Lytechinus pictus: one gene and its partner. Each later gene encodes a partner of the first gene's protein in a complex. Links are inferred from orthologs where the notes say so. Each region holds a gene or a part of one and is shown in the gene's direction. Other genes may lie near its edges.

The links.
Region 2: basement membrane-specific heparan sulfate proteoglycan core protein-like (region 1) and LIM and senescent cell antigen-like-containing domain protein 1 share a complex: the UniProt entries of both Caenorhabditis elegans proteins name them as parts of the integrin containing attachment complex. The link is inferred for Lytechinus pictus from reciprocal best matches to the Caenorhabditis elegans genes unc-52 and unc-97.

The regions. Positions count from the first base shown.
Region 1 is NC_087258.1:16,588,900-16,596,343, reverse strand, and holds the start of basement membrane-specific heparan sulfate proteoglycan core protein-like, read left to right. Parts: upstream 1-4,285; coding exon 4,286-4,351; intron 4,352-4,732; coding exon 4,733-4,835; intron 4,836-5,153; coding exon 5,154-5,444; intron 5,445-7,444. UniProt on the Caenorhabditis elegans protein: Component of an integrin containing attachment complex, which is required for muscle development and maintenance. Probable structural role in myofilament assembly and/or attachment of the myofilament lattice to the cell membrane.
Region 2 is NC_087260.1:17,723,003-17,730,289, reverse strand, and holds the start of LIM and senescent cell antigen-like-containing domain protein 1, read left to right. Parts: upstream 1-4,182; 5' UTR 4,183-4,374; coding exon 4,375-4,385; intron 4,386-7,287. Other genes in the region: methylosome subunit pICln-like, read right to left, coding at 1,222-1,343. UniProt on the Caenorhabditis elegans protein: Component of an integrin containing attachment complex, which is required for muscle development and maintenance. Probably function in adherens junction.

The DNA.
Region 1 (7,444 bases):
TAGTACATTTGTGTGGAGAGTGGCAGATGTATAGATAAATGCCTTGCCAAAGGACACAAGGGCTGCATTCAAAGTTATTATGATCAGAAAGAGGTATAAATGTAGGGTGTAAGAATGTGATTCTCTAAAAACTCATTTTAAGTGTAATGTACCTGTTGCACCTGTCACATACGATTCCCAGAAAGCACTTTCAAAATGAATTATGCCGGCATCATGTTGTTTGATCGTGGCATTACATTGTAGCTCTGAGTTACATTGCATAGAGCCAACAAATGACCCTAAGGCATTTATCTACACTTGCCACTCTCCACCCTGGTGTAGTGAACAATTAAGTTACCCTGCAGGAATAAAATTATTAAAATGTTCAAAGGTCTGATCAGTGTAGCTGTGCTAAAGCTGGGGTAATGATTTGCAACACTTTGAAACATTTGTAGAAAGTGTTATGTAAATGTTGAATATTGCTGTTATTTTGGGCACAAAGTTGAATCCTTGCACCCTCAAAATGAAATTACATCGTACTTTCGAGTGTGGTATCTTTTGGTTCTATGGTCTTTGCGGAGGCATGCACGAGAGGAACAAGGTCTGCGCCGATGGTGTAGCATTCCTCGTGATGTTGAACCATCTAGACCCCAATTGTCCCCGTAGCTCCGGGCCTTGTTGTTTAGGTGACGAACAAGTGACCCCGTGCATATATACTCCCTTGCTTATGAAAATAATATCCCTGACTTTCAACATGAGTCGAGTTTGGGATCAGAGGATGATTTAGTTTTCCGTTTTCACATTTGGATAAGAGGAAAGGGTAGGGTGGATGGATGGATCTTAGCAGGGAATGAATTCAGATACTGTTAATGCCAAATTATGAATTACAATTGTAATTCATAACTTGGCGTTCATAATTTTTACATTGATGTAAAAATTTAGTTTTATACGGGATGGGCAATTTCCCAGGATTTCCCACCACGGGGGTGTTTCACAAAGATTTAAGTATGACTTAGAGTCGCACTTAAAGGTCTAGTTGCGCGCAGTATAAAAGGCATGACCGTATTGGTCAGATCAAGCGAAGAGGACGTGCACTACTGCGTATTGATCAATAAGTTTGCACGTTGCATATCATGTACGTGTCGACATTTAAGTGCGACTTAAGTCATACTTAGATCTTTGTGAAACACCCCCCTGGTGGAAAATACTGGAAAATACTTGTAAATGCTTGGAAGTACTTCAGATGTACAGGGAGGTATAGAGAGAAAGGCTAGAATATGCTTGAGAAACACCAGTGGGCAATACTTGAAAATATCCAAGAAGTATATTTTGTAGTATTTCCCTGCATTTGAAACTATTTCACATTATCTTAGGTAATTAAGCATTATTTACCGGTATTAACCACCTTGTATTTTCCACTCTGGCCAACCCTGGTTTTATAGAAAACCTGTGAATCGGCTTTTAAAAATCATGTTTGTAAGTTGTTTCTCTGTACGATCCTTTGTCTCTCAATCAGAACTTATTATATATATGATCAAACTTTTCTAAGACTTCTAGACTTCGAGACTTCAAATAACCTGTAATGTTGGTTTAATGTTAGGGTGTAGTTAGGGTCTCTGTAGGTATCATGGGACTATGATACTGCTGAAATGAGCATCATTAAACAGATACTTACTAAAAGTATAGAGTATTACGAACATAGTTTTAATTAACATATTCTTTGGCCCAAATTCACAAAGGTGGTTTTGAAAACCATCGGTTGAACCCATGGTTTATGCAGATTTCCTGTATAAATTATACTTATTTACCACGTTTATTGAAAAGCGTCAAATACTGATGCGCGCTTTTGTCACAGTGCGCCAAATTGACGCATCTTGCCATGGTTAAGTATGCTATTTTATTCATGAGTCCACTGTTTTGAATTAATGAGTCCACTCTTCAAACAGTGGACTCGTGAATAAAATAGCGTACTTAACAATGGCAACATGTGTCAGATTTGCTCACTGTGACAAAAGCGTGCTTCAGCATTGGACATTTTATAATATACGCGGTAAATAAGCGTAATTTATACAGGAAATCTGCTTAAACCATGGGTTAAACCGATGGATTTCAAAACCACCTTTTTGAATTCTGGCCTTTGTGTCTGTTAAAACTCTGTTTGCATCCGAAAGTGTTATCATATCCATTATGTTAACATGGAATTCCATCTTCAGACTGCTGAAGGATACATGGGCCCTGTCTTACAAAGAGTTGCGATTGATTCATTCATTCATTCAACCTCAACTTCATGTATATGGAAATCCATCATTGTCATAATTTTTCCTTTTCCAATGTTTCCAATATCCTTTTATAAACAAAGAGGAAACACTGAATTGTCAAGACAGTGATAATTGTAATATGTATCATGTACCTCATGTCTAGAAAACATTTTAAACAACATTCATTTTTGATGTTGGCATTGCTGGCTTTCCGTATTTGTGTTTGATCGGATCAATTGCAACTCTTTGTAATACTTCAGTTGTACACCAGATACCGAAGGTACACCTGACTAAACAGGGGACCACACCAGGGCAGGACTTGATTTAATACCAATATCCACTGCCACCTTTCTACACCTGGGCCGTGTAGTTCAATGAACTGTTATTGTAGACCTACCCACTTCAAATCTAGAGCCTTTAGGCTGGCAAAGAGTTTTGATTAGCCAAATGGATATTTTGGTTGGCCAAAAGTTAGATGTGATAGGGTGTTGACCATCCACAATGTCTGTTGTGTCAAAAAAATTTGGCTGGGCAGAGTTGGTTCAGGTCCGACCTAATTCCAAACGGTAAGCCCCCATCACACTTACTCCGAATCAAGCAGAATTGGCCTGAATGAAAGGACTATTGTTTGACCACCAGTTGGTCATTTAAATCTACTTCGAACACCGTTCGAAAATATCCCTCGAATGTTTTGAACATGACCAAAACCTTTGGGACGGCCAAAAGAAATGACAAAAATATTTCGAATGCACTCAGAATGCAGTCAGGATATTTAGAATGCCCCTAGAATGTCCAAGAACGTAGCACGAATTATCAATCTGACTCTATTGTGGTTCATTTTGACTAGTGTATGATGATACACCTGGTCAATTTACTGAATTTCAACTCCAGTTTGGTGAATTCATAAGTTCCTCCCAAAAATTTCTAAATTTTTTGAATATTTTTTTCTTTCCAGCTTCTGCTTGATTCCTGCTGATTCCGAATAAGTGTGATGGGGGCTGTAAAGGATTTTGACAAACCTGAATGATTTTAAACTGGGCTGGAAGGGAGGAGAGGGGAGGGGGTTTGTAATTTACAATATTTTTTTCATATTAATGTATTTTCTTTCAAAAGTTCTCATACGCCCATAGAATTTGCTTGCTAACTTAGTCAATAGATTTTTGAAAGATGACTGGTCAAGGGCACCCCAACACTAGATCCCCTTTTTCCCTACCAGACTCCTTTTCTTTCAGTCACCTTGAACTAAAGACAATTCTTTCTCTCTCCTGTTGTTATTTATCTACACCCCTGTCTCGTCTATGGCGACTTTGTTGGCTTGAGTGAACCCTACACCGCCCTCAAATGGCCCTACAAATCATGTGCACCCTTGCTTTAAGTCACCCCTCCCCTCCAATTTAAATCCTCTTTCTTTTACCCCTTATTTAGATCTAGCTATCTATTTACTCTTTCCAGTCCCCTCCTGAGGATTTTCCCCCTAAGTCCCTCCCTGCTAGTGCCACTGGTCATCCTCCACCCTGGCTACCACTCATCCTCCACCCTTGCTACCGCTCACCCTTCCCCTTTTGCTTCCATTCTTCAACCATCCTTGCTACCACTCGCCCACCACCCTTGCTACCACTCACCCTCCACCCTTGCTACCCCTCACCCACCACCCTGCTACCACTCCCTCTCCACCTTTGCTACCACTCCCTCTCCACCTTTGCTACCACTCACCCCTTGCTACCACTCACCCTCCATCCTCCAAGTCAAATTAGTTTATTTCACGCCATGTTTACATCAAGCCACATCCTCACTTTTTTCTAGGCAAAGAAATATTTATTCCATTCATGTCCATTCTCTTGTCGCTAAGTTGCATGACAGGCATTACCCCATGGTCTATGAACTTGTCAAAGAGAAAGCCTGCCCTCTTTCCTCTGAAATTTAACTCTAAGCTAGTCTTGTTATTCAGACCCATTCCTTCTATTGTCTGAATACTTTCGCTACACTTCTCTGAGTATATTTCTAACTCAATATCCATGAGGAATTGCAGTATACAAGTATTTGTAATAATGGCAATCATTATCAGTGAAGTGATTCTTACCCACGCTTACAACTTCTTAGATCATAAAATGCTAGTAATTCACAATGGTGAACAAAGTTGAGGAAATGGGTCTGGAAAAGTAGAATCTTCTGTGGATCCGAGGGGTTTAGTTTGGTGCCAAAACTTTTTTTGGAGTACACTGCACAGCGCCGTGGAGTGAAGAGGGTGCTGGATTGAACAGTAGGGAAGGAGGATAGTTGGAGAGAAAGAGGGGTAGCACTGGAGTTGATGGACATAGAGTGGATTTTATTCTAAAAAGATTGTAGATGATGATTTCCTGACTGAGGCTGATTTGGAAGAAAATTAAGTGATACTGATTTTCGCCATCTCTCTCGGTCTCTCTCCTCTGTTGAGCCGTGGAGGCAGTATTTCATGGTCTGATGCTTAATGGAACATTGACTGATACATTTATCAGTTAAAGAGGATTAGGATACATACCTCGGGCTCAGACGGCCAAGCCTTTGGAATGTTGGCTTGGGAGCTTCTAGGTTCCGTCCAGACCTCCAGCTCAAAGTCAAGTTGGTGAACCGAAACCTTGCGGATTTCCCCGGGATTATCCACGTCAGTTTCCATTTTCTGATCCAGGAAAACCTCACGATTTATTCTTGTTTTGTCATCTGCTGCTCCGAAGGAATCCCTTGCATCACTGGTCTGTTTTGGTGATGGCAACAGAATGAACACGCAACGTGGAACAACTTGTCAGTAGTTGCGCATGTGTTGCCTTTTTACTTGATTAAGGAGACTCAAAGAATTTTGTTAAAGAGAATTAAACCAACCAACCATGGATCAGAATACTCATTTGATGCCCTCCATGATTTCTATTGTTTTCTGTGCAGTTATTCTAGGGACCTCTACCACGCCTTTCGTCTCGACGCAAGCGATCACCCAACCAGGACCGGAATGCGATCTCAGTCGAGAGTTTTACTGCTCTTACTACGGGATCTGCATGTCCCTTAACCTCCGTTGCGACGGTGTCTTGCACTGTCCGGAGCCGTCCGAGGAGGAAGGATGCCCACCAAGGTGTGCGTTTGGCCAGGATAGATGTCCTGACGGAAGCTGCCTTGATACCACCCAAATATGCGACGGTTACTACGATTGCGCCGATAGATCTGATGAACTTGGATGCTGTAAGTACAACCATTACTTAATCCCATCTGTACCTGTTAGCACTTAAGGAAACAGATCACACTCTGATATTTAAGAAATCTAGTAACAACGGGAACTAGTCCTAGCCACTCCTATGCTGTTGATAGTAGTCTTTTGTTGCAGATATAGGTTCTAGGACACACCTTAAAGCACCCCATTGTCAATTTCTGTTGCGATTATGTTGAGCATTGTTAGCGGCTAGAAATTATTTTTCATTATACTGCATAAACAGCTTTGTGTCTACTCTAAACCAGCAATTTGATTGATTTCTAATATTCATTTTATAGACATGCAAGCATTTTATTAGTTGTTTAAGTCTGCTTCTGTTTATTTTCTTAAATATTCTTTTGAGAATAAAGTTTGGCTCACCACATATGCATGAAATTTTTTTTTGGCACTGTTTCTTGTATCTAGATATTATGCTGCAATGAATGATACATTAGGCCTAAATCTAGGATATTTGTTACTTATACATAGTTTTGAATATATTCTTATGCATGAATTTCTCTTGCTCCATGAAGGCTGATTGAATATATTTGCATTGAAAATCTCTTTCTGTTTAAAAAAAATCAACTTGAAAAGAAATGTCATTGATGCATTATATAAAATTTTGATAAAATAAATAATAATTTGTACTTTGTTTGTAATTGTATGTAAATGTTTATATGATGTTTTCTTTGTTTTAATGCATTTGTCTGCCATGTGATAATTTGACTTTATTTTTAACCATTTTTAATTCATGATTAATCAGTCATTTGAAATTAAGAATGTTGCTTTGCAATGCTTTGTTGAGCAGCTGAGTGTTAACTAATTGCTTATTCTAATGCTCGTTTTAATGCTCGTTGTGAATGTTTTTTGTGTGAAGTTGTGTTAGTTGAGTATCCATTTGTTAATAGCAGTAGTCTGGGTTGGTGTAGCGCTATATATGAAATAACAAACAAATTATGAAGCACTTAACCACACATACGCCTATATAATCCCAGCCGCTAGATTCATTTATGCACCGTTAAAAAGATATATGCGGTAAAATTGCTGTTTAAACATTTTAAGCTTGTCACTCCAATAACTATTGTTTAAACCTTTCTTAATCTGTTCAAAAATTTGATCAATAGTTGTTAGAGTGACAGGCTTATCAAAACAACGCTAACATTTTAAACAACATTTTTACAGTGTAGGGCCCAGCATACAACCACTACCTTGGAAGTATCCCATACTCACAGTATCAGGTCATCATGTATCCAAATAGTATTAACTAGGAAAAGGTTTTATTATCCTGCCAAGGTCCCATTCCTTCCCCCAGGTTCAAAGTGGTAATATAAATCAAAGCTTCACAACGTTCCTTGAATCCTTTCTGTGACTACAAAAACCAACTTATGATAATATAGACTAGTCATAAATTTTATTGTATAGGTAAATAATAGATGATGATTTAGATGATTCAGTGTACCTTTTTACTTTTCACTGTATGTAGGTTACAGAGATTAGGCCTACTGTGTTAGTTATAATCCCCTTTAAAGGTGTGGGGGAATCATCTTTGTATTATGTCAGTTTAGATTAAAAAAAGTATATCCAAATATTAGAAAAGTAAAAGAAACCTATGAAGTTTTGAATGGTTCATGACTGGAAATATTTTCTCGCTCAAAAGCATGTAGGCCCTACATGAAATGATATATCTGATGATGTATTAAGTCAGTGCACATGAGAAATAATTTTCTTTTGATAAAATATTATATTTTATTGGGTAGCTCCATGCATGTGACGTCACAAAATACAAATAGTTTAGATTCCACAGCTTTGTTGTGGATTTTCTGGTAACTTTCATTAATGAGTTTATTATCTCTTCTCTTTTTATAAAACCAATTTGATTTTTGAGTGAACTTCCCCTTTAATTGGATAGGATGTCTGTGTGGGGCAATTAGTTTTTATGGAAGGTTACTGCTTGAGTTCAATCCTCTCATCAAAAAGGCGTTTTACTTTTATC
Region 2 (7,287 bases), on another chromosome or scaffold:
AATGGCGTTGCGCGACAGCCAAAGTCACTGGTTTTTTCCTTTTGAAGTTTATTTTTCCCCGTTTTGGTGCATGCCATTTCAGGCCAAAACGGAATACATGTACTTTAATTTAGTCCAGTTCTTTTTATATATTTTTATGAAATAAAGACAAGAATCGATGAGTCCCGGCATCGGAGGGATCACAGGCTTCACAGCTGGATTTTGCATTGTTAACCCCCTAATGGCGGCTGCACGATCGCGAGCCGTCTGTGTACGAGAATTAAAAAAAAATTAAAAATGTTAAAAAACTCCGCGAAACAGACTGCTGCCAGCTGTCTATATCAGTCCTACCTCGAGCGAAGTTCATGCAGGCTCCACTCCACTTCACATCCTCACACATATAAATAATTCGCTGCCGGTTTCAAAACATCGCATGCGCGAGGGTCCGAGCTTGGACCGGACCCGGCACCTCGCACATACAATGTATCGCATCCGCATGCGATGTTTTGAAATTGGCAGCGAATTATTTATGTGTGAGGAACTTCATGTTGGCTCTAAACTAAATCACCAATTTTGAGACTGATAGAAGCATGGAAAAGAAGTGAAACTTAGTGTAAAGTAAGAATATTATTATTAGTTTTATTGTTTTTATTAAATATCGTGATGTTGCATGAATTTTATATTTCCCCCCCATAAAACCCCACCTTTCATGTCCTTTGTCACTCGGAATATCAGATCGAGTTCACGGTCTCGAAGTTCGGGTTGGTGGAGCGTAGTGTAGCGGTAGTGGACTCTGTGGAGTGGAGCCTGCACGAACTTCGGGTTGGTGGAGCGTAGACGTACATGCATGTAGTGACTAGTGACTGTAGCTAGCGCCAGTAGCGGTAGTGAAGTGGAGCCTGCACTGCAGGCTGCACGAACTTCGCTCGATCGTATCAGACCACATGCATCAGTAGGCCTACCGAATTTGGAGCCCATTATCCAGCCTTTCACAAGCTTCATTCTCTCTCATTAGCCGACCCCCTGGCAAAAATAATCCGGAACGACCAGGCCATGCTGCATGCATGCATGTCGGGCGCGGCGCTTGCTGCAGGATCAGGAATAAATCCCAGCGCAATTTGTACCGGGTCCAGGCCGACTCTTCCCCGATCATGACGGCTAGAGTTTCGTCTAAATGGAGTCTCTGATCATGCCCGACAGGCGCGGCGCAGCGCGCACGCCTTATTACTTAGTTTTTTTTACCTTTCAGCTATGTATAATGTCCCCTTAGACAAGTCTTGTTTCTCCACGAAAGCAATGGTGTCATCTTTCTGCCACCTCACTGATGACTGTGGAGGTTGAATTGAAGCGATAAATCCCATCATTATTTCCCTTCTTTTTTTTCAAGACACCCGCGTGATGGCGATATCTTCATCGAATCGACTAAATTTCGTTGGGTTCATTCGACAGAGATGGCGCTGTGCCAAATAAGGTCCATGGCCATGGTTCAACATCGACCGTTCAATTCAATTTTTATTTTGGGGGTTTTCGGAAAAAAATGTAGATTTTTCATTGAAAGACTGTTTTGTGTGTGTGTCAGATATTAAAAGGTAAATTATTAGAGGCTTATTTTTTTATAAAACGTATGGATTTTTTTTTATAAAACGTATAGGACGTATAAAAGGCATAGGGGAGGGGTAAGGTACCGAAGAGGAGAAAAAATACCGAGGAGAAAAGGGGAGAGAAATGAATGAAGAAGAGAGAATAGTATGAAAATTAGAAGTCGTAGACACAAACTCGTCTCTATTTACCCATATAACTAAAAATGTCTCTAGAGAAAAGTATAGCCTAGGCTAGTAGAAATGAACGACAAGTGCCCATCATTAGCTTTCGATCAACTCACACTAGTCTTCCGCTGAGAGAACCCCGATCGATCTATTAAGTCATTTTTTTTAGTGAAAAATCTTTAAACATGGGGTATTGTATTGGGGTATCAGTTTGAGCTTGAAAATCTGTAAAGGATAAGCCCACCCCAACAAAAAGATGGTTTGAATAAAAAGAGAAAAATCAAACAGGTATAACAAATAAATTTTCATCAAATTCGGATGTAAAATAAGAAAGTTATAACATTTTTAAGTTTTGCTTAATTTCACGTAATAGTTATTCACATACTGGTCGGCATGCAAATGAGGGTACTGATGACCCCGGGCTGATGGCATCCACTCTTTTGTATTTCATTACATGGAATATGAAATATTCTAATTTTCTTCTCGTTGTCATGTGAAACAAAGTTTTATTCCTCCCTGAACATGACTGAGTAATTATCATTAACATTTTGTGATTCTATAACTATAGTAGGCCTATCAAGAGGGTCATTATTGTCAAATCTGCAAAAATTTAAATAGTTATTTTAAACAATAAAAAACAAAAGAAATAGTGAGTCAGGAACATCATCGACTCTCTCATTTGCATTTTAATGAGTTATTTATACAACTGTTTTGTGAAAAATATACGCGAAACTTTAAAGTGTCATAACTTTTTTATTTTATATCCGATCATTTGATGGAATTTTCAGTGTTATGCTTTTTTTATTTTTCTCTTCAAATTAACTTGTTTTTTCCTAGGTGAACTAGACCTTTAAACATACCTTGTAAATGATTTTGTCTTTTCGTAAATTTAACCCATTTAAGTCATTTTTTCCCAGTTTTCCAACAAACTTCAATTTTTGCGTCCGTCAGTAAACAATTTTTTTTTTAAAGTTACACATGCCATTACAAACGACTAGAACACAACATGGGTCTCTTTTAGGAAGAAAATCCGTAATAATAATGGGTACCCCCTTTCACAAAAAATAATTGAAAATAGGCACGAGTTTCAATTAAGGCTTCATCTGTACAACCCCTCCGGACCGATAAATCGTTGATTTGGCTCAACAGGTTGTGGAGGCTGAAAAAATACAATTATTTACTTTTTTCATATTTTTTTTCTTTATTTTATTTTGCCGGATCTCGTGATTATGAATTTTAACTATCAGTATCTTTAAAACCCCAACCTGAGAAACCAATTAATTGAATGCTTTATAAACATGATTTTGTACTCCATTTTTTTTCAGCCTCCACTTTCTTTTTCAATAAACGTATTTATTATTATTATCATCATCTCATTGGGATTTTTTTATTTTTTTAAATATACATATCTTCATTGAGCATTGAGAGTCAAATTAAGAGAATATGCAAATGATATGTTATACCAACCTGAATACAGACCGTGATCTTTTCTCCTCTGTCAGGTAATTTTATTTTACATAAATATGATTGATTTTTTTTTATAGATATGTATGTCCTTTTTTCTTTTCCTTATTTTTCTTTTATCTTTTTTCCTTCTATTCTCCTCTTCGTGTTGTTATTGTTGTTGTTCTACGTGTTCTTTTTCTTCCTTTCCTCCTCAATTCTTCTTCCGTAATTCTTCTCCTCCTCCTCCTTCTTCTTCTTCTTCTTAATTTCTTCTTCTTCCGTTCTTCTTCTTCTTCTCTTCTTTATATATTTTTCTTGTATATATCATCTCTATATCTTATTCATTGCTTAAAGTGAATTGTGATTTCCTTTTTGTGTGTAAATAGTATAAATTTACCTTTTATTATTTCAATTCTATTTTGGCCTACATATCGATCGAGGACCCCACTGGAAATAAGCTTTCGAGCTTTCGTGGGTCTTCCTTTGAAAGCCTTTAATGTTATTATGTTGTGGCCGGTGACTTACCAAGTAAAATTCATCCATCCATCCATCCAGTGGCGCTGGCGTACCTAGGATTTTCCACAGGGGGGGGGGGGGGGCAAATTCGTCCGCCAAAAAAATTTGACAAGCAAAAAAAAAAAAAAAAAAAAAAAAAAGGTCTTCAACCACAAATAAATGATTTTGTACCAGATAAAAATTTGACAAGCAAAAAAAAAGGTCTTCAAGACTCGTCAGGGGGGGGGGCAGGCATATGTCCCTTGCATGGGTTGTGACTCGTCAGGGGGGCAGTCTGCCCCCTCTGCCCCCCCCCCCCCCCCGTAGGTACGCTAGTGCATCCATCCATCCACCCATCCATCCATCCCCCATCCATCCGTCAGTCAATCCATCCATCCACCCATCCATCCATCCATCCATCCATCCATCCATCCCCCATCCATCCATCCATCAATTAATCAATCAATAGCCCCTCTCCCATGCCGATCGTGTGGCCGTGGGGACGGGGCCCTAATTCTGTGACTACTGTTTCTCGCTGATCCTCAAGTATCGCAATATGCATAGGACATAGCCCTTGAGAGAGGAATCAGCGAACCTCTTGCACACTTCACTGTTGATGTTGTCGACTTCCGCTAGCTGCGGATTATATTTTTAGGAGTGGCTTTTTGGCAAATTTTATCGATCACCGATGACAAAAACGTGAGTGTTTCTATCAACTTAATACTTGTTATTGAAAGCCTTTGATGTTGTGAGCTAGAATACTTTTAAACCACCAATTTCCAGTATATTTCCTATGTATTAGCAGTTCCTATAGTCAGAAATTGTATTTATTTATGGAAATTCTATCGCGCTCAGCATGAGTCAACGGAGAAGCAGTTAGCGAATGCAGCGGATTCTGAATGCTTCGCATACCGGAGTTGCCCCTAAGCACGTCGGCGAGTTAGAGGTCAAACCCGCTAGCTGAGAAACGTCTACTGCAGTGGTATCTGATTACAGTGCTGGGTAGCATGTATTTTAGACGTTTTCTTTACAATTATTGTAAATGATCAAATAGAAATTCCCATATGATGTAGGGCATGTAACTCTTAGCCTTTAGGACTAGTACTAGTACTAGTAGTAGTAGGACTAGGACTCACTATTTGTATAAAATTAAAAGTACTAGTGATGGCAGTGTATATAGGGCCTAGTAATAGTATTATTATTGCCTGACATGACACCTTTAATATTTTCAGTGCTTTAAAAATGACAACTAGAGGAAATGCAATCAAGAAAAATTCACGCTTGCTTTTCCAAATATTATGAAAATTATGAATATGATAACATTATTTTATATTTACCAACCTATTTCTTCGTATCGCACTTGCCGCATACCCCTCCACGAAAAACCATTATTTTTGTGCGCGACAAATTACATCATGATTCCGGACGCGCGCCGGACGGGTAAAGATATCCTTGATTATAATGATGTAAGAACAAATTTTTGTGATTTTTTTCTTCTTTTATCATATCATGAGTAAATTCTAAGTATTATTTGCTTTTTTTATATCGAATCTGAGCAGATGTTGGTAATAAATTCGTGTTTGATAACTTTTTGTCTTGTTAGCTGCATGTTCCATGGCACTTTCCAATAATAATATGCACGCGTTCGTATCGTGACGCTCATCAAGTTCTATCGATGCGCTGCCGATCGACGGCTCTACTCACGGTAAACCTCGCGCACGGGTACCTTGAGAACTAGCCGTCAACGATCACCCACAATGCCCCACACCTCGTCATTCGATCGAAGGAGTGGACGAGATTGAAATTCGGCAAATCAGGCCCATATTTCCGTTAGAAAATATATCAATTGTTAATACAAAACTATGTTATATGATATTTTAAGCATTTTCTGTAATTTTTAGAGATAATTAGGTAAAAGTTTGATTTTTTGCTTTGTTTTTGCAATCTTGTTCTATGTATTGCTCTGTGAAATTGAATTGCGGAAGTCTTACGGTACGAATTTGTTTTAGAACGCAGTGATACGCGCGTCCGGAAACATAATAGTGTCCGGTAATACAATACGTGACTATACTACTCAGTCAGACGGCAGGTCCCAAGAAAGTGGCTTCTTTCATCCAAGTGATAATTGATATTCATGACTTGAGATGTTTTGCATATTTAATGAGCTTGATGCGGACCAAAACACCTCTTTTCATTCGGTCTTTGCTGCTCTACTTGTGCATCGAATTTCATGAATTTGGTATCATTGTAAAGAAGAAGAATCATTCTTTTAGTTTTAGGTCATGTGTTTGAATTCATTCAAAGATTTTGTAATATACTGTAGGTTAAAATTTTGATCTAAAATATGCTACAAAATAATTATTTTCACATGAAAAAAGCTGCTTATTTTTGTTTGAGCCCAAATGATTTTTAGATCATGATAAAGCTGAATATGTATGCTTTAAAATGACATAGGTTTCAAAATAAGAATTGGTTTAATCGGGTCAAGATCACACTTTTCATTTGCCAAGTACATAAAGCAGCATGAAAACAAGAATACTGCACTCTGATTGGTCAAAGAGACCACACACTGGCAAATTCCAACGGTTCCAGTGCCTGGGTTCATGGGAAGGTCACACTTCCCATGTGGTAATCTCCTCAAATACCCCGCGCCTGTTGTTCTGTGAACCTTATCCAGCCAATCAGAACTCTGGATTTCATGCATGTACAAAATTTCAGAAATCTCGTCTTGTACCTTGGTGGGAAAAGTGTGATCTTGATCCGATTAAAAGGTGCCGCATATCAAGAGTGGCATTGTGAGAAAGTACAGAAGTTCAGCTTTATGGTGATATAGATATCATTGAGGCTCAAAATAAAAAGTTTTGCACAATTTGCAAAAGAAAACAGAGGAAGAAAATTCAGTTTTGAGGCACATTTTCAGGCCAGAAATTTACTTATTTAACAAAATATTGTATACAAAATAAATGACCAATATGAAAGAGTAACATTTACTCTATCTGATGGTGCAATAATATTTCATTTAACTTGAGGTTAAAACAGGTAAATTCTAAGAGAAAGAAAATCTCACGAATCACGAGATTTTGCAAGGAGGAGGATTCAGCCACGAGATGATTTGGATGAATCTGGCCTTTTTGCTCATTAGCATAGGGACCTGCGGTCTGACTGTACTGGTACTACTTTACTAGTAATAGGTACATTACATGTGATGTAGGGGGGTTAATAAGAACTGAACTAAAAAATAGGGCAGGCGGCAGTCACAATTTGTGTTGTCTTTTTGGTTGTGTTGCTGTCCATAATTAATAATCATCTAGACTATTAATAAAGTTACTGTCTACGTTAACTAGACTAAGACACATGTAGATCTAAGTCTAAGTGTTAAGTGTCGTACACGAAGATATCTACATTATTATATTATACATGTAGTAAATATACATGTTACTTCACATTATTAAAGGACAAGTACACCCCAACAAAAAGTTGATTTGAATAAAAAGAAAAAAAAATCCAACAAGCATAACACTGAAAATTTCATCAAAATCAGATGTAAAATAAGAAAGTTATGACATTTTACAGTTTTGCTCAATTTTCACGAAACAGTATA